Linked DNA regions of Xenopus tropicalis. The protein of the gene in region 5 purifies or fractionates together with the protein of the main gene of each other region. This does not show direct contact. Links are inferred from orthologs where the notes say so. Each region holds a gene or a part of one and is shown on either strand. Other genes may lie near its edges. The genes, in order: ibtk, eif3b, eif4g3, npm1, eif4a1 and eif4e.

Region 1 (3,500 bases), on a different chromosome or scaffold from region 5:
CCCATACAGATCTCTCAGTGAAGCCTGATCACACAGCAAGTATACTTTGCTTCAATATGGCTCTTGCATTTATCCTTTCATCAGTATGAAAAAAAAAAATAACTCAAATACTCAACAAAACACACAAATACCTGTCGAAGGTGAACTGTGAATGATGTCAGAAAGATTGTATCCTCCAGAGCTATCCAAACGTTTTCTTGGCTTCTTTTTGGCTTTTGCCTTAGATTTTTTAAATGCAGCTTCCCTATAAAAGACATTTATTTAGCATTTGCTTGGTAACTACAGTTAAGTTCACCTTAAATACTGCTGATTTCACTGTAGACTCATTTATCAACACAATTCAATGTTCCGAAGCATATTGCCAAGCTGTTTACCCACAGTGCAGATTTTTCTCCCAGAATTCCAGCATAAATGGACAACAACAAGGCTCATTTACAACTGTGGTACAATATGCCAAGAGCAAAATTGACATTTTTTTCAGTTATGTAGATTTTGCTTCCCCCCCCGGATTACAAATTTCAAGCATTAGAATGTTTCCCCTCAAGCTACAATAATTAAATTGTATTCTTACTGAGTGTTTTGGTAAGAATAAATATCATCCTGAACAGAGACAAGGCTTTTAATATCTTCAGACTGTAAGATACTAACATCTGGCCCATCCAGATATGGTGTGATTATTCTCTTGTTCATGGGTGGAATCTGTATAAACACACACAAAAACAATAAAAAGAGGGACTATTGATTAAATCCTGGTGTGTCTGAACAGAACCCCCAAAAAAGATATATACATACAGAATCTACTTCAATTACACTTTAGCACTAAAATATGAGTACAGGTATGGGATTCCTTATCCGAAAACACAATATTCAGAAAGTTCCGAATTACGAAAAGGCCATCTCCCACAGACTCCATTATAACCAAATAATTCTAATTTTTAAAAATAATTTCCTTTTTCTCTGTAATAATAAAACAGTACCTTGTACTTGATCCCAACTAAGATATAATTAATCCTTATTTGAGGCAAAACAAGCCTACTCGGTTTATTCAATATTGAAATGATTTTTAGTAGACTTAAGTTATAAAGATCCAAATTACGGAAAGATCCCTTAACTGGAAAAACTCCAGGTCCTGAGCATTCTGGATAACAGGTCCAATACCTGCATAGGATAATGAATCAAGTTGTAGACACTATAGATAGTATCACTGTGTGTGAACATGCCCAAAAAGTGGTCTGGTGTTGCCAGATACCTACAACTTATACATTAAGTAATAGGTAACCTATATATTAAAATTACTATATAAAAAAAAAAGCTCAACAGAAAAGAAATACCATTTTTCTATATGCTTCTGAGAGATCTTTCAACACATCATCACTCAAAACATCCAAAGACCTGAGGAGGAAAAGAAAATAAAGGTGCAATAAACATAAAATTGCCAGTAAGGTTTTAGCTTTGAAGGTCTGATTTATGTCTTCACTTTAAAGGAAGCCACTAAAAATGTGTTAGATGATACTTGTGTAGCCATGCAAGAATATAATTTAAGTTGCTTTGTTTCATTAAAACTTCTACTGTTTGTAAGCCACTAGGAAGTATTGTGTGATAGCAAAATGCAGTAAGCCACCCTTACTTTCCTTTCACTTCATAATGTGGAATTTGTTTATATTTCTTTTTTTCTACAGCTAATGTAAAAAATGGGAAAATGTATTTTTCTCTACTGAATGACAGCTAGTGGTATTAATGCATCAGGTTATGTGGAAACAAAGGCAAAAGGTAGTCCAGATCCACGACCCCATAACTACTAATATTAATCCTTAAAGCAATAAAGTATTGAATGCATTTAGATTTCACTTGATGTGATGAGTTGCTAAACATAAACAAACATTTGCCAGTTTTACTGTGTAACACCCCATGAATACTATCTACCACAGTTTGTGCTTATGATTTTTATTAATTAAACCTTTAAAGGGGACTGTGGCTTTGTCAGAGTGTAGGCATATGTATTTCAATGCATTCTGCCCATGTATAGGTATTTAAAAATCAAATGATTTTATAGAATCTGATAAGTATCTTCATTATCTGTTTAAACAGAGCAGAATGATATTCATACACTAAAGTTTTGCTTTATTAAGCAGAAGAACTAGCACTTAGGAAGCCCCAGTCCATCTATTATTTGGGGTGTGAAATACACAGAAATGTACTGCACTGTACAGGTATAGGACCTGTTATCCAGAATGCTCAGGACCAAGGGTATTCCGGATAAGGGGTCTTTCTGTAATTTTTTCTCCGTACCTTAAGTCTACTGAAAAATCAATACGATATTAAACCCAATGGGAATGTTTTGCATCCAATACGGATTAATTATATCTTAATTGGGATCAAATACAAGGTATTGTTTAATTATTGCAGAAAAAAGGAAATCAATTTTAAAAATCTGAATTATTTGATTAAAATAGAGTCTATGGGAGAAAGGCTTTCCGTAATTTGGAGCTTTCTGGATAACGGATCCTATACATGTACAAGAAAAGACACACAGGAATCTATAAAGCTAGAATGAAACATTCCAATTACATTAATGATATGAACTGGAAAAGGAAAGCATGTGGAACTACTGAAATAAAATACATAAATATGTTGCCCGTACCTTGCTTCTAGTAAAGCTCCCATGTTTAGCACTATAAACTGCAAGCAAGAAAGCTTCAGCTGGTCAGCATTGTACAAGGCTGCAATTTCCAGGAGTTCGGCTGCATTCTTCAGTGTAACTGGAAGTTAAACATTCATATAAATATAAATGCAACCTTATGACAAGACATTTTTGTAACTTCCAGATGGAAAATGTTTTTAGCTCCCTGCTTATTCCTCTCCCACTTATTCAGCTTACACAGACATGGAGAATCATGTAATACTCTAGGCATAACATTTGTAGAAACTGTCCCTTAACCTGGTCCACTGACTTAACAGATGTTCCATAAATCGCTCACCAGCACTAGTATTTCCCTGCACTAAGTAGGGTTTAGAGTGGCCTATAAACAAACTTGTTCTTGATCCAACTTTCCAGTGCAATAAATAAAGAATGTATAGATTAAAAATTATAAACATTCCAAAGTTACAAACTTGCTTAATATTATGAAGTAAGATGAAGCCCAGTACCATGTTCTCTGGAACTTAAATCAGTCTTTTTGGATTCCATAATTGCAAGCTGTTTGCACACATAGCCAAGAAATTAGAGGGAACACTGACCATGGAAAATACCCAAGATGAAGTTTGAGACTGCTTTAGTGCAAGGGCCCATGGGGCGTATTGTCAGCCTGTACCCAGAATCAATGAATGCGCCTGGGTGCAGGCACACAGAGTTGATATGCACCAACAATCTCCAAGTATCACGTTTTTTGTGGATATAGCAGTTTTCCAGAATACTTTAAAAGGACAAGAAAAGGCTAAGTCACTTGGGGGTGCCAAAATGTTAGGCACCCCCAAGTGACTTTAATCGCTTACCTTTTACC
Region 2 (3,975 bases), on a different chromosome or scaffold from region 5:
ACTGGAGCCCAAAACTGCACTGCATACTCAAGGTGAGGCCTTACCAGAGACCTATAAAGGGGCAAAATTATGTTTTCATCACTTGAGTCAATGCCATTTTTTATACAAGGCAGCACTTTATTTGCTTTAGTAGCCACAGAATGACACTGCCTGGCATTACACAACTTATTATCTATAAAAAAAACCCAGATCCTTCTCCATTAAGGATACCCCCAACAAACTACCATTTAGTAGATTGCTTGTGTTTATATTATTTTTACCAAAATGCATAACTTTGCACTTGCCCACATTGAACCTCATTTTCCAGTTAGCTATTTAGTTTTCCAGTTTTGTCAAATCGCTCTGCAAAGTGGCTGCATCCTACACGGAACTTATAGTTTTGCACAATTTAGCGTTCTAGGCCAATATTCCTCAATGTTATCATTAACCTTCTGTGAGGTACTGTATCATACGCTTTTTCAAAGTCCAAGTACATGACATCAAAAATACCAGCAGACAAAATATCCATCTCCAGGCACCGTTTGTAATGTTATTTTATTTAAAGAATCCTATAGTTGGTATACAAGGGCAGATTGTCTGCTGCTGTTTTCCACCACAAACCTTTACTAAAAAAATTAATTTACATTACAACCCATGCAGGTCTTTAACTGAAAAGATAATATAACTGCAAACCATCCTCTGTATATTTGTAAAGTATAAAACGCTGGCATATTACAGCAATTGTATGCCAAGTTAAACGTGAACAAATGCACTTGAATCAAATCCTAGTTACCGCCCAAAGTTAAAAAAAAAGTACTAAAGCTGTGCATTGATACAACTAGCTTGGCCCCTGCATTAGCATTCCGGAAGTTGTAGTTAGTCGTACCCAGCCAGTACTAGCCATTTAGCTACATTGAGCGCAGTCACTTCCTCCATGTTGGACTAAACCATTTGTAATTGAAAAAGGGGAGGCGCTCACTTTGGCTTAAATCATTTAAGCCTCATATTTCTTTTAACAGCAAGAACACAAAATACAGAGATAATTCCTTTGTGGTTAATATATCGCGCGTTGGGTTTGACATCACGCAAGTTGAATTGAGTGATCTCGCCACCCCTGTCTCCTGCCTTGGTTAGCTCCTTTTCCGCCGGTGCCCGGTACAGCGCACATGGCCTGTTAGTAGCGCCAAGCCTTGCGTTCTCTTTATTCTCGGGGAGAAACGAATTCCAACCACGGAGAGACGCAAGAATCCAACGTAGGTAGAACAGAGACAAACAGGAAAGTGCCGAGGAATGCTGGAGAGCGAACGACCCGAGAGAGACATGGAGGAGGAAGAGTCCACCGAGGAGGAGGAGGAAGAAGGGATGTCCTTTAGCGATCCGGAGGGATTCGAGGACGATATCAGTGAAGAGGGTGAGTGAGGGCTTTCTAGAATGTTGGCTCTGGACAATATTGGGTACTTAGGCCTGCATGTTGCGTTCTTTTTAGGGCAGTGCTTCTGCTTATGCAGTACCCATAAGGCCTGTGTGTGAAAAGATGGGGGCCCCTGGCAGTGCAGAAAGAATGTGGCCTCTTATCAGAGGGATGGAATTGGATTCATTATAGATGTTATTGTTGCTGTACTCCCAGCTGGTAATTTCCCTGCTTGGTGCTAAAAACCTTTCAGCCTTCAGTTACAGCTGGAAGCCTGCAGGTTGGGCGGACATCCCTGATGTGCATCCTGAGAACGGCTAACAGCTGCCGCATCGCACAATATGTCCTTTGTACCTGGGATTGGTGTGGGGAGTTGTAGTTTGATAGCAGCCAGCTATGCTGCACTGTCACACCCTTTCATGGTTATTTTTGTGCCCTAACACAACACCCCAGTTATCAAGCAATTTTGAAATAAACAAAGCTTGAGCAGATGGGGCCCCACTGGCTGCCGAGCAGCATTTTTATTTTAACTCGTAGCAAAAACAAGCCCTCTGTTTTTTTCAGGCTTGGTATTTAGATTTTTTTGTTGTTGATATGAGGTATTTATCCTAAAGGTGCCCATACACGTTAAGATCCGCTCGCCAAGCAAGTGGATCTTCTCCCGATATCCCCCACCTATGGGTGGGGGATATCGGGAAAATGTAGGCTAATTTGATTGATTAAATTCTAACGGCAGCAATGGCACAGCCAGTTCGGGGATCGTCCCTGATCTGACTAAATCTTTTAACCTGCCCGATCGATATCTGGGCAATTTCAGGCCAGATATTGGTTGGGCAGGCCTGTCGTTTCTGCCCCTACACGGCCCGATAAGCTGCCGAATCAGTCCAAAGGACCGATATCTGCAGCTACAACCAGCCCGTGTATGGCCACCTTAACAAACAGTCAACAGTTAGGAAGTCTCAATGACCGTGAGGATATAGAAAATCAGGATCTTAAAATAAAGATAAGCAAACCAAGTTCTAACAGCCACCAAATGTAATCCTCAAAGTCAGTGTCTTTGGGTGAAGACGCACAGAGCTACGAGTAGCAGCTACATCAAAGCCAGTGATGGAGAAAACTGCTTTAATAGCAATTATGTACAATTTTAAAATGTAAATAAAATATTTAATTGAGCATTCTTTAGAATTGCCTTCATAATGCACAAAAGCCTATTTTGGAGGGGATGACAAACGCTGCTTTTAATAGCAGTAATATCTATAAACAACTTTAAAACAATTACACATTTGTAATTAATGTAAATTGCAAAGTTTGCTTAGAATTGTTTTCTTTTATTAGGCAAAACGTTTTTTGGGGTTGACATGTCAAAAAACGTGCTCAGGTCATATTGGCATCACTTTTTCTCTTTTCTGTACAGCATTGCAGCATACACTGGTGCATTATAACTAAAGTTGGTACTAGATACCCCTCTTAATTAAAGGAACAGTAACACCAAAAAATTAAAGTGTATAAAAGTAACTAAAATATAATGTGCTGCTGCCCTGCACTGGTAAAAGTTGTGTGTTTACTTCAGAAAGTCTACTATAATTTATATAAATAAGCTGCTATGTAGCCATGGAGGCAGCCATTCAAAGGAGAAAAGGCACAGGCACTTAGCAGATAACAGATAAAACACCATTGTATTCTACAGAACTTATTTGTTATCTGCTATGTAACCTGTGCCTTTTCTCCTTTTTTCCAGCTTGAATGGCTGCCCCCCTGGCTACACAGCAGCTTATTAAATCAATTATAGTAGTGTTACTGTAACAAACACACCAGTTTTACTATTGCAGGGCAACAGTGCATTATATTTTATTACTTTAAAGCTCTTTCATTTTTTGGTGTTACTGTTCCTTTAAGAAGGGAGGAAGAAAGTGAACAGTAGTTCTTATCTTTCTGTAACAGCATGTATGTCAATGTTGTCAGTTAGGCAAGTTTATCTCCTTGTTGTACAATGTCCCAATGCTTTTCTGCTTCATGAATGAAGAGCAATAATAATGTATGTTAGTCCAATATGTAATTTTGTAAGGGTGTGTCGTCTGTTTCTGAGCAGTGTATCACTTGATTTATAGCTGGGAGTTACCTGGTTGCTAGAGTAGGTGTGCTTAGTTACCTCTTATGGACAAAGACTGCATGCTGTAATTAGGTGCCCAAACCTTAGGCTAATGTCAGACCAGGTATGGCGTATATATTTTCGGCAAGTTGAAAAACGCTTGCCAAAAATATATACGCCATACGCCTGGTTTGACAATGGCCTTACACTCAGGGCATTCCACAACTTCGCTGCCCTTACCATGAAGAACCACCTACCCGGTATTGAACGTTTTTATGGGAAAGAATGCCATAATGCCTTCTAATATACTTATAAAGAGTAATCCAATCCCAGCCTTGATAGTCTGCTCTAATAATTATATAATGTGTCAGTATGACTTGCTTTATCAAGTTTAAAAAGGTTACTTTATGTCTGAAAAATGCTCAGAAAAGCCAAATTAACTTTTTAAATTGTTTAATCGGGCACTGTATAAGATTTGTTCATTCCTTTTGAAGCA
Region 3 (3,500 bases), on a different chromosome or scaffold from region 5:
AGAGCTCTGATTCTCTGTACTTCCTGCTCCTGGGCTGCTCTCTTTCCCATGGTCAGACAGGCCCCCCCCCCTGGGTAAGTGAATCCAATCTCCCCCCAGTACTTACCCAGGTACAGAGCTCTGATTCTCTGTACTTCCTGCTCCTGGGCTGCTCTCTTTCCCATGGTCAGACAGGAATATAACATGACATTGTGTTTCTCAGTTAATGGCTAATACCCACTCTGTTACAGCCACGTATGGATCAGTACTTTAACCAGATGGAGAAGATCGTTAAGGAGAGAAAAACCTCGTCTAGAATCCGCTTTATGCTGCAGGATGTCATAGACCTCCGGCTGGTGGGTGGAGCCATAATAATAATATAGTGCTCCCTGTCCCCCCCCCCCAGTTTATGTCTTTTGTGCAATGAGATAAGAATGTCGCCCTTTCGGCAGAGTAACTGGGTGTCCCGCCGGGCAGACCAGGGGCCCAAGACCATCGAGCAGATCCATAAAGAGGCCAAGATAGAGGAACAGGAGGAGCAGAGGAAAGTGCAGCAGTTAATGACCAAAGAGAAGAGGAGACCAGGTAAGGAGAGGCACCGCGGCCCCAACGTCCCCCTGCGGGGGGGCCTTATCCCTTTCAGGCAGCAGGGGGCGCTGTGCTTACAGCCTGTGCTTGTCCCCAGCAGGGGTGCAGAGAGTGGATGAAGGCGGATGGAACACTGTGCAGGGGGCAAAGAATAACAGGGTGCTGGACCCTTCCAAGTTTCTGAAAATCACTAAGGTAAGGAGGCTGCCCCCTCCCGTGGCACTGAGCTCAGCCCATGCCTTGTTGCTTTGGTTAGGGGGTTCCTCCGATAAATCTGTGCCAGCCTTGCCCGCAGTTACTGGATTAATTACCCCCCTCCTCTGTGGTATCTGTAGAGTGCTAGCTTCTCGTTCTCCTGTATGTGCCCTTCTGAGTGACGCCCTGGCATCTCTCCCCTGGCATCTCTCCTGGCACAGCCTTACAGGTCTCTGCGTGTATTACAGGGCATTCAGGGTGTGCCCAGGGGATTTTGTATTTACCCCCCCTCTCTTTTTTGCCCTCAGCCCACTATAGATGAGAAGATCCAGTTGGTTCCCAAAGCTCAGCCTGGCAGCTGGTTAAAGGGGAGCAGCGGAGGTGCCAAGGCTAGTGAGACTGGTAAGAGCTCAGGCTTCCCTCTCTGGGCTGGGGTAGTTAGTAGCCACAAACCCCACGTGCCCCCCCAGCTAATGCATTGCTCATTGTCTGTTCTGTTAGAATCTCTGAGACCGGGAGCCCCCAGCCTGAACAGGTTCTCTGCTCTGCAGCAGCCGCTCTCCTCTGTGTCTTCCTCCTCCTCATCGTCCCCCTCTGAGCTGGACTCTCGCAGGTTACTAACCAGGTAATGTGGCCCTCACATTGCTCTGTGGCCCCTCGCATTGGTCGGTGTCCCATTTTGTATCCTCCCCCACTGCTGCTAGACCTTGGGCATTGTGTTCCTAATTAAAGGGGAAGTAGAACCCACACCTATAAAGCTGCTGAATAAACATGAAACCCAAATTCTTTTTTTTTTTTTTTTTTTTTTCAATGAAAACCCCCAAACCTGTTATAAAGAGATTTAGTCATCTCAGTTGTCAATCAAATATAGCCTGCCCCGCCTCCGTGCCTCAGGCACCTCCTTCTCTTCCCATTTTACACTTACTGCAGGGAACTGCCCCCTCCTCTGCCTATAGTTGGGCACTAGGCCAAAGCCTTAGGAACAGCGCCACAAACTGGCACCTACCTGCCCGCTGTGACTCCCAGGACCCTCTACGAATTCTTTCAATAAATCTGAGGTGCGCAGCATCTGGCGCAGGGAGGTATCACAGGCCTGGTCTCAGCATTGGCTCCTCCCTCCCTATTGTTGGGAGGGGCTTGCCCCAATGGTTCTGGTGGGTAACCAGCTTCCTTCTTTGTGGGCACTTGGAAACCAGGAAGCATTTGCTGATGATCATGGGAGTTGTAGTGATGACCTGATACTAGAACATGTGACCTGACCGTTGTTTTGGGGTTTAGCAGCCGTGGAAGCACGGGGCGAGAGAAGAACGACAAACCCTCTGCGCCCTCCTCCATCCCGTCTGCGCCCCGACCCGGCACCCTCCTGCGCGGCAGCAGCAAAGACTCGGCCGACAATCAGGAAGAGCTGCGCCGGGAGACGCTCCAGACGGTCAAACAGCTGACGAACGTCGCCGAACCCGACAAGAACACTGTGCCAGAGAGACGGCCCAAAGAGCCAGGTGAGACCCTGCGGTTCTGCAGATAAGCTCCGCCCCAAGCCAGGACCCTTGTCTGTGTGAATCATTAGGGGGCGTGGCTATTTCCACCATTTTACTCACACAGATTTATCATTTCCCAGCCAAGTCCGAGCCGTCGGAACCAGACAAACCCACCCTGTCAGAGGAGGAGATGGAGAGGAAATCCAAGGCCATCATTGATGAGTTTCTCCATATTAATGACTACAAGGTACTGTGTGTGTGTGGGAGGGCGGCCCGGTGGGTTGCAATAAGGGCACGAGAAGCCTGGGTGGGTCCAATGGGTGCATATGGCTTTCCCAGACTCCTCCCCTTCCCGATCATTGGTCGCTAGAACCTTCTCCCTGTGTCTCCGCCCATCAGGAGGCCATGCAGTGCGTCGAGGAGCTCGGTGCCAATGGGCCGCTCTCAGTCTTCGTACGACAGGGGGTGGAGTCAACGCTGGAACGGAGTCAGATCACCAGGGATCACATGGGTCAGCTCCTCTACCAGCTGGTCCAGTCTGGCAAACTCAGCAAACTGGACTTCTTCACTGGGTGAGTTTTAATCGCTGGTTTTGTTCTGTTGGGGCTGCGTTAGTACGACTTTAATGTTGCTATGGAAGCGTGGGCACTAGCTGTATCCTGGCCATGACCATAGGGGGGCGGTCTTTTGCTTATGGGTTTGGGTCACAACGTTCTGTGCCAACGCCGCAGGTTCTCGGAAACGCTGGAGCTGGCCGACGACATGGCGATCGACATCCCGCACATCTGGCTGTACCTGGCGGAACTGGTAACCCCCATGTTGAAAGAAGGCGGGATCTCTCTACGAGAGCTGATAACGTGAGTGGGGGGGAATGAAGTTTGTATAGGAGGCGGGACTTAGGGCGATAAGGCAATTACAGCCATGAACCCTGGGCTTTCTTATCATCTGTCAGGAATCTCATACCAAGGGCCACGCAGTCTCCTCTATCCGTTAGGGCCCCATCTGGATTATTTAGTCCCCAAATTCCCCCAGCGTGGCACCATGGCAATGTGGCTCCTCCCATTAACTGCTTTTTCCTACACAGAGAGTTCGGCAAAGCTCTGCTCCCTGTGGGACGCGGAGGGGAATTATTGTCGGAAATATTGCACCTTCTATGCAAACAAATGGTACGTACCGGCTTTCCCAGCGATAGATGGGGGGGGGGGGGCGTTAGGTCTTTCTGTCCCAGTGAGTGGGCCGAGTACCTATTTGGGGTGCTCC
Region 4 (3,500 bases), about 130 Mb from region 5:
CCCTCTTTTAGTGCCTTTGAGGGGGGGGAACTGGAGATGGGAGCTGACCAATTCAGTGCAGTGCTTAAATGCTGACTAACTTGTACTAAGAAAAGAAGAAAACGCATTGCTTCTGCTAAAAAAAATGATCCTTTATTAAAGGAACAGTAACACTAAAAATGAAAGTGTTTTAAAGTAATTAGAATATAATGTGGTGTTGCCCTGCACTGGTAAAATTAGTGTTGGCTACAGAGACTCTACTATAGGTTTATATAAATTAAGCTGCTGTGTAGCCATGGGGGCAGCCATTAAAGCTGGAAAAAGGGAGAAAAGGCACAGGTTACATAGCAGATAACAGATAAGCTCTGTAGAATATAATGGGGTTTTATCTGTTATCTGCTAACTTACCTGTGCCTTTTCTCATTTGAATGGCTGCCCCCATAGCTACACAGCAGCTTTGTTTATATAAACTATAGTTGTCCTTCTAAGGCAAACACACCAGTTGTACCAATGCAGGGCAACAGTATATTATATTGTAATTACATTTATACACTGTCAGATTTTGGTGTTACTGTTCCTTTAAGTTAGCATGAGTGGCTCCTGCGAAGCAAACGGCCTGGTGTGTTTCGGGAAAAATAATCATGGGATAGACCTATGGTTTAAGGGTCTTTCCTGAAAAGTGTCAGGCAGTAGCCACTCAACTTAATAAAGTTTAATCAAATGTATTTTAGTAGGAGTGCAGTTTTTTCTTGTGTGGTGGGTTTTTTTGTTGTCTGTGATGTCTAAATTCTTGTATGTATTTGCAGAAAAAAACACGTCTGGAGGAAGAGGACGAGGCTGATTCAGACGAGTATGTATATAGTGTGCTTTTCTTTATGCTTTGAGAGGAATTGCACTTCTTCAGGCACTGTCCTTTTCCACTGTTGGTTGCTATCGTTCTTTCCCTTAGTTTGTGTAATATTTTAGCTGTTGCAGAACAGCTCTCCTGGCAAAGCAATGTCCCCAAAGCTAACTAAACAGATTGCTCTGTGTGACAATCACCCCACTGAGAGGTTTGAATGTTTTTTTAAAAAAAAACAAAAAACCCCAGTGATTGTAATTGCTAACCTGAAACCCAGGGCTGGTACTCTTGTTAGGAGAAAACCGCACCGACCCGGGGTAGCTGCAAAGCCATGATCCTTTACCTTCTGTCTTCACGCCGCTTGCACAGTAAAGTGAAAAGCCGAACTTTATAACAAAACTGCTTTTTTACTCTACTGCACATGTGCCAGCCTCAGGATTCCCCAGGACAGGCAAGAGATTGAAAAGGATTGCTCATTTGCAGCTACTCTGGGCTGGTGATTTCTCCTAACAGGAGCACCAACCTGGGGTATAAAGTAAGCGATTCTCTGAATAATGAAATGAGATTTAAAGTTCTTATAAGATTTTCAAATAAACATTTATTACAACAAGAGGTAAGATAGAAGAGGAGAGAGGGTGAGCCTGGGGGGAGAAAGGCAGACATGCACCAAGCTCCTGTTGCAGCAAGGCTTCCCAGATTTTGTCAAGTGTACCCATAATAACCATACAGTAATTCACCTGCTTTACCTTTTTATTTAGGGATGATGATGATGATGACGATGATGAGGAGGAGGACGACGAAGATGAGGATGAAGAGGATGAAACACCTGTTAAAAAGGTAACTTGGTGACATTTGTATTTTTTTTCACTTTTGTTAACTGTTACAATGCAGTTACATACAAATATACTAACTGCAACCGGCTGTGACATCTGACATGCAAAAATCCACCAATCACAGGGTAGTACCTCTGTGTGACTCTCCCCCCCCCCCCCCCCAAACCATTTCATATTTGTTGTGCTGACTAGTTTACAACTGTAAAATGGGTAGTTCACCATCTAGACATTTTGTTATGGTTTCCACTGTTTTCTAATAGTTTGTCAGAACATGTTTGTTGTTTTTTAGTTTTGATTCTTGTGGGGTGGGGTCATTGATTCTGTAAACTTATCTAATTTGTTTAGTTTGAGCAAAAGGCAGGTTTTGTACAGGTATCAGACAGCTTCAGCATGAATAAGTATCCAGTTCTTGTGTCTTAGGTATTTTTAAATTTGCATTTCCTTTATAGACTGACTTGCCTACAAAACCAAAGGCAGCTCAAAAGTTAAATCACAATGGGAAGGCTTCTGAATTACCCACACCACTAAAGACTCCAAAAGTAAGTGGGGGGTGCCTAAACTGGGGAGCTGGTAAATCTAATTTAGACTGGAATCCCTGAGAAGCTTGCAATCAGGGTTTGGGTTGAAACAAAGTTACAAGTTTAAGTTTTACTTACACAAGGTCATTTTAAAAGTACCCACAGATCTTGATTATGCACTTTAAGCAATGTTGAAGCTGCTTCTACTTGATAACTAGCAGAGGTAGGGCCCCTGGTGTGCAACCCACCAGGAAACAGCAGTATCTACTGTTGTCTGTCCTGTACCATCTCTGATCCCCTCCAATATCAGATTTTAGATCCAGGGCCTTCTGTCTTCCTGTTTGTACCCAGGTAACTTGTGTGCCCACTACATAAACAGCCAAGTGTACAGAGTTCTATATCGTGTTCAGCCAAATTTTATTTTATTTATTTTTAAAGCAGTTGTCCTAAGATATGTATTCAAAAGTTCCCCCCAGGAAATGCCCCTAGAACTAAACATTGAGCTTGGGGAAGGCCTTTGAAACTCTGGTAAATGTGCCAAACCATATTACATTACAAAATTAAATATGCAGCCATTTCATGATTTTTAAAGTTGCTTAAAGTTTTGAAGATTGGGTGGAGTTCCCCTTTAAATGTAAATATTCTGATTTTCTGTTAAAAGTTTTTTTTTTTTTCTCCTTAGACTCCAGAGCAGAAAGGAAAGCAGGATACAAAGCCTCAAACACCAAAGACACCAAAAACGCCTTTGTCTTTTGATGAAATAAAAGCAAAGATGCAAACTTCATTAGAAAAGGTAATCTAAGTATGAATATAATTTTAATCTGAGCCAATATCAAGCTATCCTGAGGATAAGAAATTTACTTTGTTTTTTCACATCGGCCAAAAAGCTTAAACGGTTCAGTGTAAACATGCCTAACATTAATTCAGAACACTACATCAAGTCAATGGTTACTAACTGGTAATGGGTTAGAGACCTGCAAAGGAAATAGTAGTGTTCTGGCTATTTTAGACATTTTAAGATGTTAAAATGTGCATTCTCACTTTTGTTTCCTCAGGGCACTGTTCTTCCTAAAGTGGAAGTAAAGTTTGCAAACTATGTGAAGAATTGCTTTAGGACAGAAAATCAGAAGGTAAATTTTAAGGCTTTCGGTGCTTAAGAATTTGTATGGTTTATGGTAAATGCTAAAGACCCTTCAGCATGAATTGCATCACTAATGCAGCCTTACACAGGCAGAATTTATGAATTGATTGAATGCTGTAATTGTTAAACTGAGCTCTAGTCTGAAATGTATATTCAGTAATCTGAGTTAAGATGCAGTGTTCAGGCTG
Region 5 (3,968 bases):
GCCACTGCAAGCTGGCGGTGTGACGCCCCCCCAGGAGCCATTATTGCAGGGGACTCTGCGGAGCCTTTTTACTTGCAGCGGCCTCTCCGGGGGGGGGCTGCGCAGAGCGTCGTCTGTGTCCCCTTCCCGAGGGACCCTACTACCTGTTACCCCCGCGGGAGCCTCGCCCACCTGTACAGTGAAGGATTCTGTGGAGAAATGACATCCAGCGGGAGTCCCCGCCCCTCCGCCCGTTTCGCTGGTGGTCTTTCCTCGTCCTGTGCCCCCCCCTTTCCACGATATCCCCCCCCCCCCCCAAACACTTTATTCTTTGCCTACTTTTTTTTTTTACACAGTTCATTTCTTATTTAAATGTTTTCTGGGACAAATTTGTAGTTTTTTTTTTTTTTTTGTCAAAAAATAAAATGGAAAAAAAGCAGCTGAATAAAAAAGTTGTATAGTAATGTGTGTGTGTTGGTTCCTGTGTGGGAATGGGGTGCAATGGGGGGCTGAGGAGGCAGAGTGGGGGCCACACGGGAGCTATGGGTGCGGGGTGACTGGAATGGGGGGGGGGGGGGGGGGGGGGTTTCTTCGTTACACTTCCGGCTTTTGCTGCCTGAGGGGCACCGGAAACATTGAGTCCAATAAAGAATCAAAATGGGGGCCACAAACAGAATTACTATTAGGAAATGGCGCTCGGTGAATGGGTTTCTTACACAATAAATGTAAAAAAAAATGCTAAGGAATTCTGTCACATTGGAGCGGAAGTGACGCAGACGGCAGCTAGCCAACTGACGGAGAGAAGTAATTTAATGACAGGGCTGCCGCCTAATGAGCGCCAGCAGAGGTTGGCGGGACTGTGCGTCACGTGAGGACAGCGGGCCAATAGTAATCGCCGTTAGGGAAGTCTGCATGACAATGGGCGAGATTGCTGCCGTGGTGGGGAGGAGCTTGTCTTCCCCTAGAGCCAATCGGGATCTGAGCCGGTCAGACAGGGCGGTAAGCGCCGACCCCTTATTAAATATAAGCAGTGGCAGCCAATCGGCTTCGAGGCTTTCTTGAGCCGTCCTACCTGCTAAAGAAACGTCCCCTGAGCCGCCTTGGCGCTAACCAATCAGTAGCCTGAGGGGTGGAGCCGGCAGGAGGCTATATAAGGGACGGTCACCGGTTTGTTAGAAGCTTCCGCTCAGAAGAATGTCTGCGAGCTACGAGAGTCGGTGAGTGAGAGGGAGCGGCCTGGAGGCCTGGGGAGCGATACGGGGAGCGATACGGGGAGCGATACGGGTAACCAGGCAGGGAGAGTGAGGGCCGCGCTGTTCCCTGTTTATCCCCCCGCCCTGCCAGTGGCCGTTATCGGTAATCCAACTGCCGCCCTAGCCCCAACCCCTCCCTGTGTGCCGAGGCCTTCCCCAGCCGCGCCCGGAGCCGTTTCCCGCTGTACCGGAGGCCCAGTCTCGGCTCTACCCGGGCCCCTGGCGGCCCCTCAGCACTTTCCGTTCCCCCCACCCACGTGGGAGGTGTCATGGCGGCCCGGCGGCCCCTGTGTGTGAGGGAGTGGGGGGGGGGAGAGGACAAGATGGCGGCGGGGGGCGGAGTTACTGCTAAAATGGCGGCTGTTTCCGGCTCTGCACGTGGCTGGGGGATGGGGGTCACGGGGTAGGGGTAATTCTCTCTGCTGCCCCCCCGGGGCCCCCCAACACTCACAGGGGGTACGGGCTGTCATGTGACTCTGTGGGGCATTAACCCTTCCCTGCCTTATGGTATGGGGCATTAACCCTTCCCTGCCTTATGGTATGGGGCATTAACCCTTCCCTGCCTTATGGTATGGGGCATTAACCCCTCCCTGCCTTATGGTATGGGGCATTAACCCCTCCCTGCCTTATGGTATGGGGTATTAACCCTTCCCTGCCTTATGGTATGGGGCATTAACCCTTCCCTGCCTTATGGTATGGGGCATTAACCCCTCCCTGCCTTATGGTATGGGGCATTAACCCCTCCCTGCCTTATGGTATGGGGCATTAACCCCTCCCTGCCTTATGGTATGGGGCATTAACCCCTCCCTGCCTTATGGTATGGGGCATTAACCCCTCCCTGCCTTATGGTATGGGGCATTAACCCCTCCCTGCCTTATGGTATGGGGCATTAACCCCCCTGTATGCCCCTTAGTGTGGGGGGTAAATTCCCCCTGTATGCCCCTTAGTGTGGGGGGTAAATTCCCCCTGTATGCCCCTTAGTGTGGGGGGTAAATTCCCCCTGTATGCCCCTTAGTGTGGGGGGTAAATTCCCCCTGTATGCCCCTTAGTGTGGGGGGTAAATTCCCCCTGTATGCCCCTTAGTGTGGGGGGTAAATTCCCCCTGTATGCCCCTTAGTGTGGGGGGTAAATTCCCCCTGTATGCCCCTTAGTGTGGGGGGTAAATTCCCCCTGTATGCCCCTTAGTGTGGGGGGTAAATTCCCCCTGTATGCCCCTTAGTGTGGGGGGTAAATTCCCCCTGTATGCCCCTTAGTGTGGGGGGTAAGTTCCCCCTGTATGCCCCTTAGTGTGGGGGGTAAGTTCCCCCTGTATGCCCCTTAGTGTGGGGGGTAAGTTCCCCCTGTATGCCCCTTAGTGTGGGGGGTAAGTTCCCCCTGTATGCCCCTTAGTGTGGGGGGTAAGTTCCCCCTGCCTCTTAGTATGGGGTATAATCCCTCACCCCCAGCCCTACTGTATGCCCCTCAGTATGGGGTATAATCTCACCCCAGCCCCCTTAAAATGGGGGCATAAACACTCATTTGCCCCTGCCCTTTTATGTCCCCTTGGTATGTACTTACCCTGCCTCCTGTTGTATATGGCCCTAGTATGGGGGGGGGGGGTACAAGCCTTACTCAGTCCCTGGCCCTGGTATGGGGGGGGGGGGGGGTACAAGCCTTACTCAGTCCCTGGCCCTGGTATGGGGGGGGGGGTACAAGCCTTACTCAGTCCCTGGCCCTGGTATGGGGGGGGGGGTACAAGCCTTACTCAGTCCCTGGCCCTGGTATGGGGGGGGGGTACAAGCCTTACTCAGTCCCTGGTATGGGGGGGGGGTACAAGCCTTACTCTGTCCCTGGCGCTGGTATGGGGGGGGGGTACAAGCCTTACTCTGTCCCTGGCGCTGGTATGGGGGGGGGGGGTACAAGCCTTACTCAGTCCCTGGTATGGGGGGGGGGTACAAGCCTTACTCAGTCCCTGGCCCTGGTATGGGGGGGTACAAGCCTTACTCAGTCCCTGGCCCTGGTATGGGGGGGGGGGGTACAAGCCTTACTCAGTCCCTGGCCCTGGTATGGGGGGGGGGTACAAGCCTTACTCAGTCCCTGGCCCTGGTATGGGGGGGGTACAAGCCTTACTCAGGCCCTGGTATGGGGGGGGGGGGGTACAAGCCTTACTCAGTCCCTGGCCCTGGTATGGGGGGGGTACAAGCCTTACTCAGTCCCTGGCCCTGGTATGGGGGGGGGGGACAAGCCTTACTCAGTCCCTGGCCCTGGTATGGGGGGGTACAAGCCTTACTCAGTCCCTGGCCCTGGTATGGGGGGGGTACAAGCCTTACTCAGTCCCTGGCCCTGGTATGGGGGGGGGGGGGGACAAGCCTTACTCAGTCCCTGGCCCTGGTATGGGGGGGGGGGGTACAAGCCTTACTCAGTCCCTGGCCCTGGTATGGGGGGGGTACAAGCCTTACTCAGTCCCTGGCCCTGGTATGGGGGGGGGGGGTACAAGCCTTACTCAGTCCCTGGCCCTGGTATGGGGGGGGGGGTACAAGCCTTACTCAGTCCCTGGCCCTGGTATGGGGGGGGGGGGGTACAAGCCTTACTCTGGCCCTGGTATGGGGGGGGGTACAAGCCTTACTCAGTCCCTGGCCCTGGTATGGGGGGGTACAAGCCTTACTCTGGCCCTGGTATGGGGGGGGTACAAGCCTTACTCAGTCCCTGGCCCTGGTATGGGGGGGGGGGTACAAGCCTTACTCAGTCCCTGGTATG
Region 6 (4,137 bases), on a different chromosome or scaffold from region 5:
GAAAGTCGTAAAGGTAAATCAGGCAGGCTTAGTTTCCCAGGCAAGGCCGCAGACAACATAGCACAGGAGGAGGAGTTTGATAGCTTTAAATACCCCCCACGCATACGCAGAACCGGCGCCATCAGCGCGTCACGGACGTGCACGCTTTGACATGTACGTGCGCTTTGACGCACGCGCACCTGGACGCGCGTGTGCAACGTCCCGCGGACAATAGGATGCACACGCAAGGAGGCGTGCGAGACCAGGCCGCACGGGTGAGTACCCTGACACCCCGGTATTGCGGTATCTGAAAAATTAATATAGTTTTTAAAAAAAACACCGGTATTCGGTATTAAACGGTATATCGCCCAGCCCTACCCATAATTCTATATGGTGCTTTGGACATCTGTTATAATAGTTGTTATTCATCAAAAGTAGTCTTACTGATGTATGATAGCTTCTGTAAACCTTTGAAATTAAATTTTAGGTGTAACCCTAAATTGTATAATGCAATTTTCTGGTGTCATTTTGTTTCGGGAAATACGTGTATTTATGGGTGAGAAGTAAATAATTTTAATAATTCAGTTCTTCAAGGCTGCGGCCACAATGTCAAATAGATGCACAGTAGTGTAACATAAGTTTTCTGTATGCCACAGCAATACTGAAACTGCTTATCATTCAGAGTTCCCCTGGTTCCCACCCTGTATAAACAGGGGCTTCCATTAGTCTTGGATCTGCTCTGTGGCTAAACCTCTCTGATGAGATATAAAAGCTTGGTGAGGGCAAAATAATTATTTAACTGCTCATGGTGAATTATAAAGTTTATATCTTATTATATAGCTACAAAAGTGGAAAATACAAATCAGAAAGCGATTTTAAAAATAAAACAGAACATTTTTACAAAAGGAAATGCTAGCAAAAGATGTTTACTTAATCGTTTGAGGAAAGAACTAAACTTTAGCCAAGTGCTCGGTATTGAAAGTACTGGGTGTGATTCACATCAGAAGCCAAGGCCACTTTAGGCATAAGTTACCAGCTGCCCTGCATATGTTGCACCTTTACATACACTTCCTTTGTGTCCTTCAACGTTAATGAAAGATCAGATGCCCGCCTACCAATGCCTTGCAAGTGACACAGAACCAAATCGTAATAGTAGTAGTTCCCAAGCGACCATTTACACTACAACTCCCAGCACCCCTTGCGCGGCCTCTCCCTCTTTACAGGTTGCTGGGCGGGGCTACGCAGACTCAGCTGTCGGCGGACGTCACGTGGCACGCCCCAAACCAACCGGGTTTGAAAGTAGTTTTTTTTTAACCTCCTCTTCTTTCCTGCCAGCGGCGGCTGTGCAGTCACAACCATCTAAAATGGCGTCTGTGGAGCCGGTGAGTAGATGCGTGACTCGTGTACAGGCAAACCCACAAGCACATGGTTTTAGATGTTGCTTTGGCGGAGCGACTGACACTTATTAAAGCAAGGGGGCGGCCAGGTCTCCGCTAGGCGCTCAGAAAGCCGAGGGAGGAGTCCAAAGTAACATGTTTCTGCTGTTCTAGGCGGCGGCGGCTGCTTTTACTGCAGCTACAGGCATCGTAGGGGATGCCGCGATCTTTGCCCCACCCTATGTCCCGGTCGCATTGCTAGGGGAATGGCTGCTACTTACACCGTGTGTGTGTGTGTGGGACACCCGTGCGCGCTCCCGCCCCCTCCATTATTGTACATGTGTGTGCGCGTCAGCATGTGACGAGGAGCCGGCTGGCCGCGTGGCGGGCACACACAGGGAGGCGAGACTTTTTGGCTGCACCGGCCATTTACGGGCGCGTCCCGGCATTCCAGTCCGAGTGCGCCGTGTCCATGTTGGGTTTGGTTACTGCGGCTAACCTGTCACTATTGCATCGATACCGTATTGCTTCTCTCATAAACTCCCCGCCCCCCATCGTGTTGCACAAGTTAATATGGCAGGGGTGTCCCCTCCTCCTCCAGCTTCTACTGCACGTTGCCTTACTCATTGAAAAGGCGCAGGCATATGTCTGTACATTCACTTCCTTGTAAGTCTCCTTTCCCTCACATGGGCAGCTGGCCGGCCTTGTCGCCAATAATCACACGCAGAAAGCCCACAAGGGGAATCTAGTGACTTATCTTTCAGCTCTTTTGCAGTCCCTGAAATTGAAAGAAGTTAGTCATTTTGTCTAATCACATGGTGTCGTCCCAGTAAAAATCACGTTTGTTGTAATAAGTAGAAACCTGATGCATGGCCAAAGAATGCACATGTCATGGCTGTGAAACACTACAGAGAATGGCATTGCATTTAATTGGCGTGACTGAGGGATTGTGACATGACTAGGTGGCTCCCTGGCTGCACAGTATTGCTTTTAATTAGAACTAGAAGAATGGGCACAGAAATTGGTACCGGTATGGGACCTGTAATCCAATGCCTGGGGACCTTGGGGTTTCCGGATAAGAGAGCTTTCCGTAATTTGAAACTCCATAACTTAAGTCTGCTAAGAATAATTTAAATATTGAATAAACCCAAAAGGATTGTTTTACCTCCAGTAAGGATTAATTATATCTTGGTTAGAATCAAGTACAGGTATGGGACCTGTTATCCAGAATGCTCATGACCTGGGGGTTTCCGGATAAGGGATCTTTCTGTAATTTGGATCTTCATAACTTAAGTCTGCTAAAAATCATTTAAATATTGAATAAGCCCAAATAGGACTGTTTTGCCTTCAATAAGGATTAATTATATCTTGGTTAGAATCAAGTAAAAGGTCCTGTTTTATAGTTACAGAGAAAAAGAAAATCATTTTTTAAAAATAAGAAATATTTGCTTAAAATGGAGTCTGTGGGAGACGGCCTTTCCGTAATTTGGATAATGGGTTTCCGGATAAGGGATCCCATACCTGTACCACAACAGTTGCATAGTTAGAGACACTGGCTACAGACATCAGCAAGTGCTAGTAATTCTCCTTGCAGCTATAAAACTAGATATTTATATATGTGTAGAAATATTTATGTGCGTATGATATTGTGGTGCGTTTTTTTTTCCTCAAGGCAGTCTGTGGTGGTGGGAATGCTTTGGGTTGTAATATCCGTACAGGCTGAAGTTGCTTAAAGTTTTTTTTTTTAATAAAGCAGTGTGTATTCAGTGTTGTGGGTCAGCCATATGCTATACTGCATGAATATTTTAAGACTGATGTCATACAAAAAAGTCTGAGTTCTGGAGCAGTTGAAAATTTTTGAAGGGTCGCGCCGATCCTAGTGACCTCCAGTTCTCCACTGGCTGAGAAGTGCTCATTCGCGGCCATTCAGTCTATTGTATACTTAGGTGTCTGTCATTTTTTGTAACAGGTGTATTTCAGTTTTGAATGGCTATATCCATAAAGATCCATTCATTGGTAGGGGGGGGGGGGGTCACTAGAACAAGCAGATTTTGCAACCCACAGGCTTTCTTTTTTTGTTTTTTTTTGAGCAGTCTTATTGGCCCGGCTTTAGTATGAAGGAAATAACATTCTGAAAAAATGTAGTAGCTATTCTTTAATCTACTATTTAGCACTTGTTGCTTTGTGATTTTGCTAGTTTATTTCTAAAACCTTTCACACACTTTTTACCCCCAAATGTATTGATTCTGTTACATGGAGCATTTCAGTCCTCTTGGACCTCCCAAGGACCAGATTTGGGAAATAAGCTAACACATTCACACGGGGATCACTTAATAACATGAGTGAGTGTAAGCTGTCCCTGGCTGCACCATAGTCTTATCAAGTTTCCCATTTAAATGAATTTGAATGGCTGCTGGAAGACAAGGGCATTTTGATCACTGGCTGGAATGCAGCATTCAAAAAGTAATCTGTGTTCTCATAATGTCTCCATTACAGTCTCAAGGTATATGTGGACCAATGCATCTTCCACGAAAATGCGCTTTAAGTGTGATGATTTGTCTTGTCTTGGCAGATCGATCTCGCAGGTTTCCTAGATTGTTGGATAGAGCAAATGTTTATTTGACATTAGTATATCAAGATCCCTTTTTGTTTCTCTCCAGGAGCATTTAAGCTAAATTTCACCTAGACTAGTCACTTATTAAGGGGACAATATACACTACTTTTTAACATAAACTCTGTGAATAGGGCATGTGCTAAACATACTTTTTCCTATTGTTAGTTA

The links.
Region 1: the proteins of eif4a1 (region 5) and ibtk purify together in Homo sapiens (co-immunoprecipitation; 4 studies listed by BioGRID and IntAct, counting the BioPlex papers as one, with this or other methods). This does not show direct contact. The link is inferred for Xenopus tropicalis from reciprocal best matches to the Homo sapiens genes EIF4A1 and IBTK.
Region 2: the proteins of eif4a1 (region 5) and eif3b purify together in Homo sapiens (affinity purification with mass spectrometry; 4 studies listed by BioGRID and IntAct, counting the BioPlex papers as one, with this or other methods). This does not show direct contact. The link is inferred for Xenopus tropicalis from reciprocal best matches to the Homo sapiens genes EIF4A1 and EIF3B.
Region 3: the proteins of eif4a1 (region 5) and eif4g3 purify together in Homo sapiens (co-immunoprecipitation; 6 studies listed by BioGRID and IntAct, counting the BioPlex papers as one, with this or other methods). This does not show direct contact. The link is inferred for Xenopus tropicalis from reciprocal best matches to the Homo sapiens genes EIF4A1 and EIF4G3.
Region 4: the proteins of eif4a1 (region 5) and npm1 purify together in Homo sapiens (affinity purification with mass spectrometry; 3 studies listed by BioGRID and IntAct, with this or other methods). This does not show direct contact. The link is inferred for Xenopus tropicalis from reciprocal best matches to the Homo sapiens genes EIF4A1 and NPM1.
Region 6: the proteins of eif4a1 (region 5) and eif4e purify together in Homo sapiens (affinity purification with mass spectrometry; 8 studies listed by BioGRID and IntAct, counting the BioPlex papers as one, with this or other methods). This does not show direct contact. The link is inferred for Xenopus tropicalis from reciprocal best matches to the Homo sapiens genes EIF4A1 and EIF4E.

What each region holds. Positions count from the first base shown.
Region 1 is NC_030681.2:88,869,423-88,872,922, reverse strand, and holds part of ibtk (inhibitor of Bruton tyrosine kinase), read right to left. Parts: intron 2,760-3,500; coding exon 2,642-2,759; intron 1,393-2,641; coding exon 1,332-1,392; intron 700-1,331; coding exon 572-699; intron 245-571; coding exon 132-244; intron 1-131. UniProt on the Homo sapiens protein: Acts as an inhibitor of BTK tyrosine kinase activity, thereby playing a role in B-cell development. Down-regulates BTK kinase activity, leading to interference with BTK-mediated calcium mobilization and NF-kappa-B-driven transcription.
Region 2 is NC_030685.2:31,106,362-31,110,336, forward strand, and holds the start of eif3b (eukaryotic translation initiation factor 3 subunit B), read left to right. Parts: upstream 1-1,175; 5' UTR 1,176-1,299; coding exon 1,300-1,390; intron 1,391-3,975.
Region 3 is NC_030683.2:132,837,518-132,841,017, forward strand, and holds part of eif4g3 (eukaryotic translation initiation factor 4 gamma 3), read left to right. Parts: intron 1-230; coding exon 231-335; intron 336-431; coding exon 432-564; intron 565-664; coding exon 665-762; intron 763-1,070; coding exon 1,071-1,164; intron 1,165-1,263; coding exon 1,264-1,387; intron 1,388-2,040; coding exon 2,041-2,261; intron 2,262-2,380; coding exon 2,381-2,487; intron 2,488-2,639; coding exon 2,640-2,812; intron 2,813-2,971; coding exon 2,972-3,097; intron 3,098-3,324; coding exon 3,325-3,406; intron 3,407-3,500. UniProt on the Homo sapiens protein: Component of the protein complex eIF4F, which is involved in the recognition of the mRNA cap, ATP-dependent unwinding of 5'-terminal secondary structure and recruitment of mRNA to the ribosome. Functional homolog of EIF4G1.
Region 4 is NC_030679.2:20,070,074-20,073,573, forward strand, and holds part of npm1 (nucleophosmin), read left to right. Parts: intron 1-785; coding exon 786-829; intron 830-1,578; coding exon 1,579-1,657; intron 1,658-2,102; coding exon 2,103-2,192; intron 2,193-2,853; coding exon 2,854-2,964; intron 2,965-3,226; coding exon 3,227-3,301; intron 3,302-3,500. UniProt on the Homo sapiens protein: Involved in diverse cellular processes such as ribosome biogenesis, centrosome duplication, protein chaperoning, histone assembly, cell proliferation, and regulation of tumor suppressors p53/TP53 and ARF.
Region 5 is NC_030679.2:152,592,812-152,596,779, reverse strand, and holds the start of eif4a1 (eukaryotic initiation factor 4A-I), read left to right. Parts: upstream 1-1,168; 5' UTR 1,169-1,173; coding exon 1,174-1,196; intron 1,197-3,968. UniProt on the Homo sapiens protein: ATP-dependent RNA helicase which is a subunit of the eIF4F complex involved in cap recognition and is required for mRNA binding to ribosome.
Region 6 is NC_030677.2:74,891,105-74,895,241, forward strand, and holds the start of eif4e (eukaryotic translation initiation factor 4E), read left to right. Parts: upstream 1-1,337; 5' UTR 1,338-1,343; coding exon 1,344-1,361; intron 1,362-4,137. UniProt on the Homo sapiens protein: Acts in the cytoplasm to initiate and regulate protein synthesis and is required in the nucleus for export of a subset of mRNAs from the nucleus to the cytoplasm which promotes processes such as RNA capping, processing and splicing.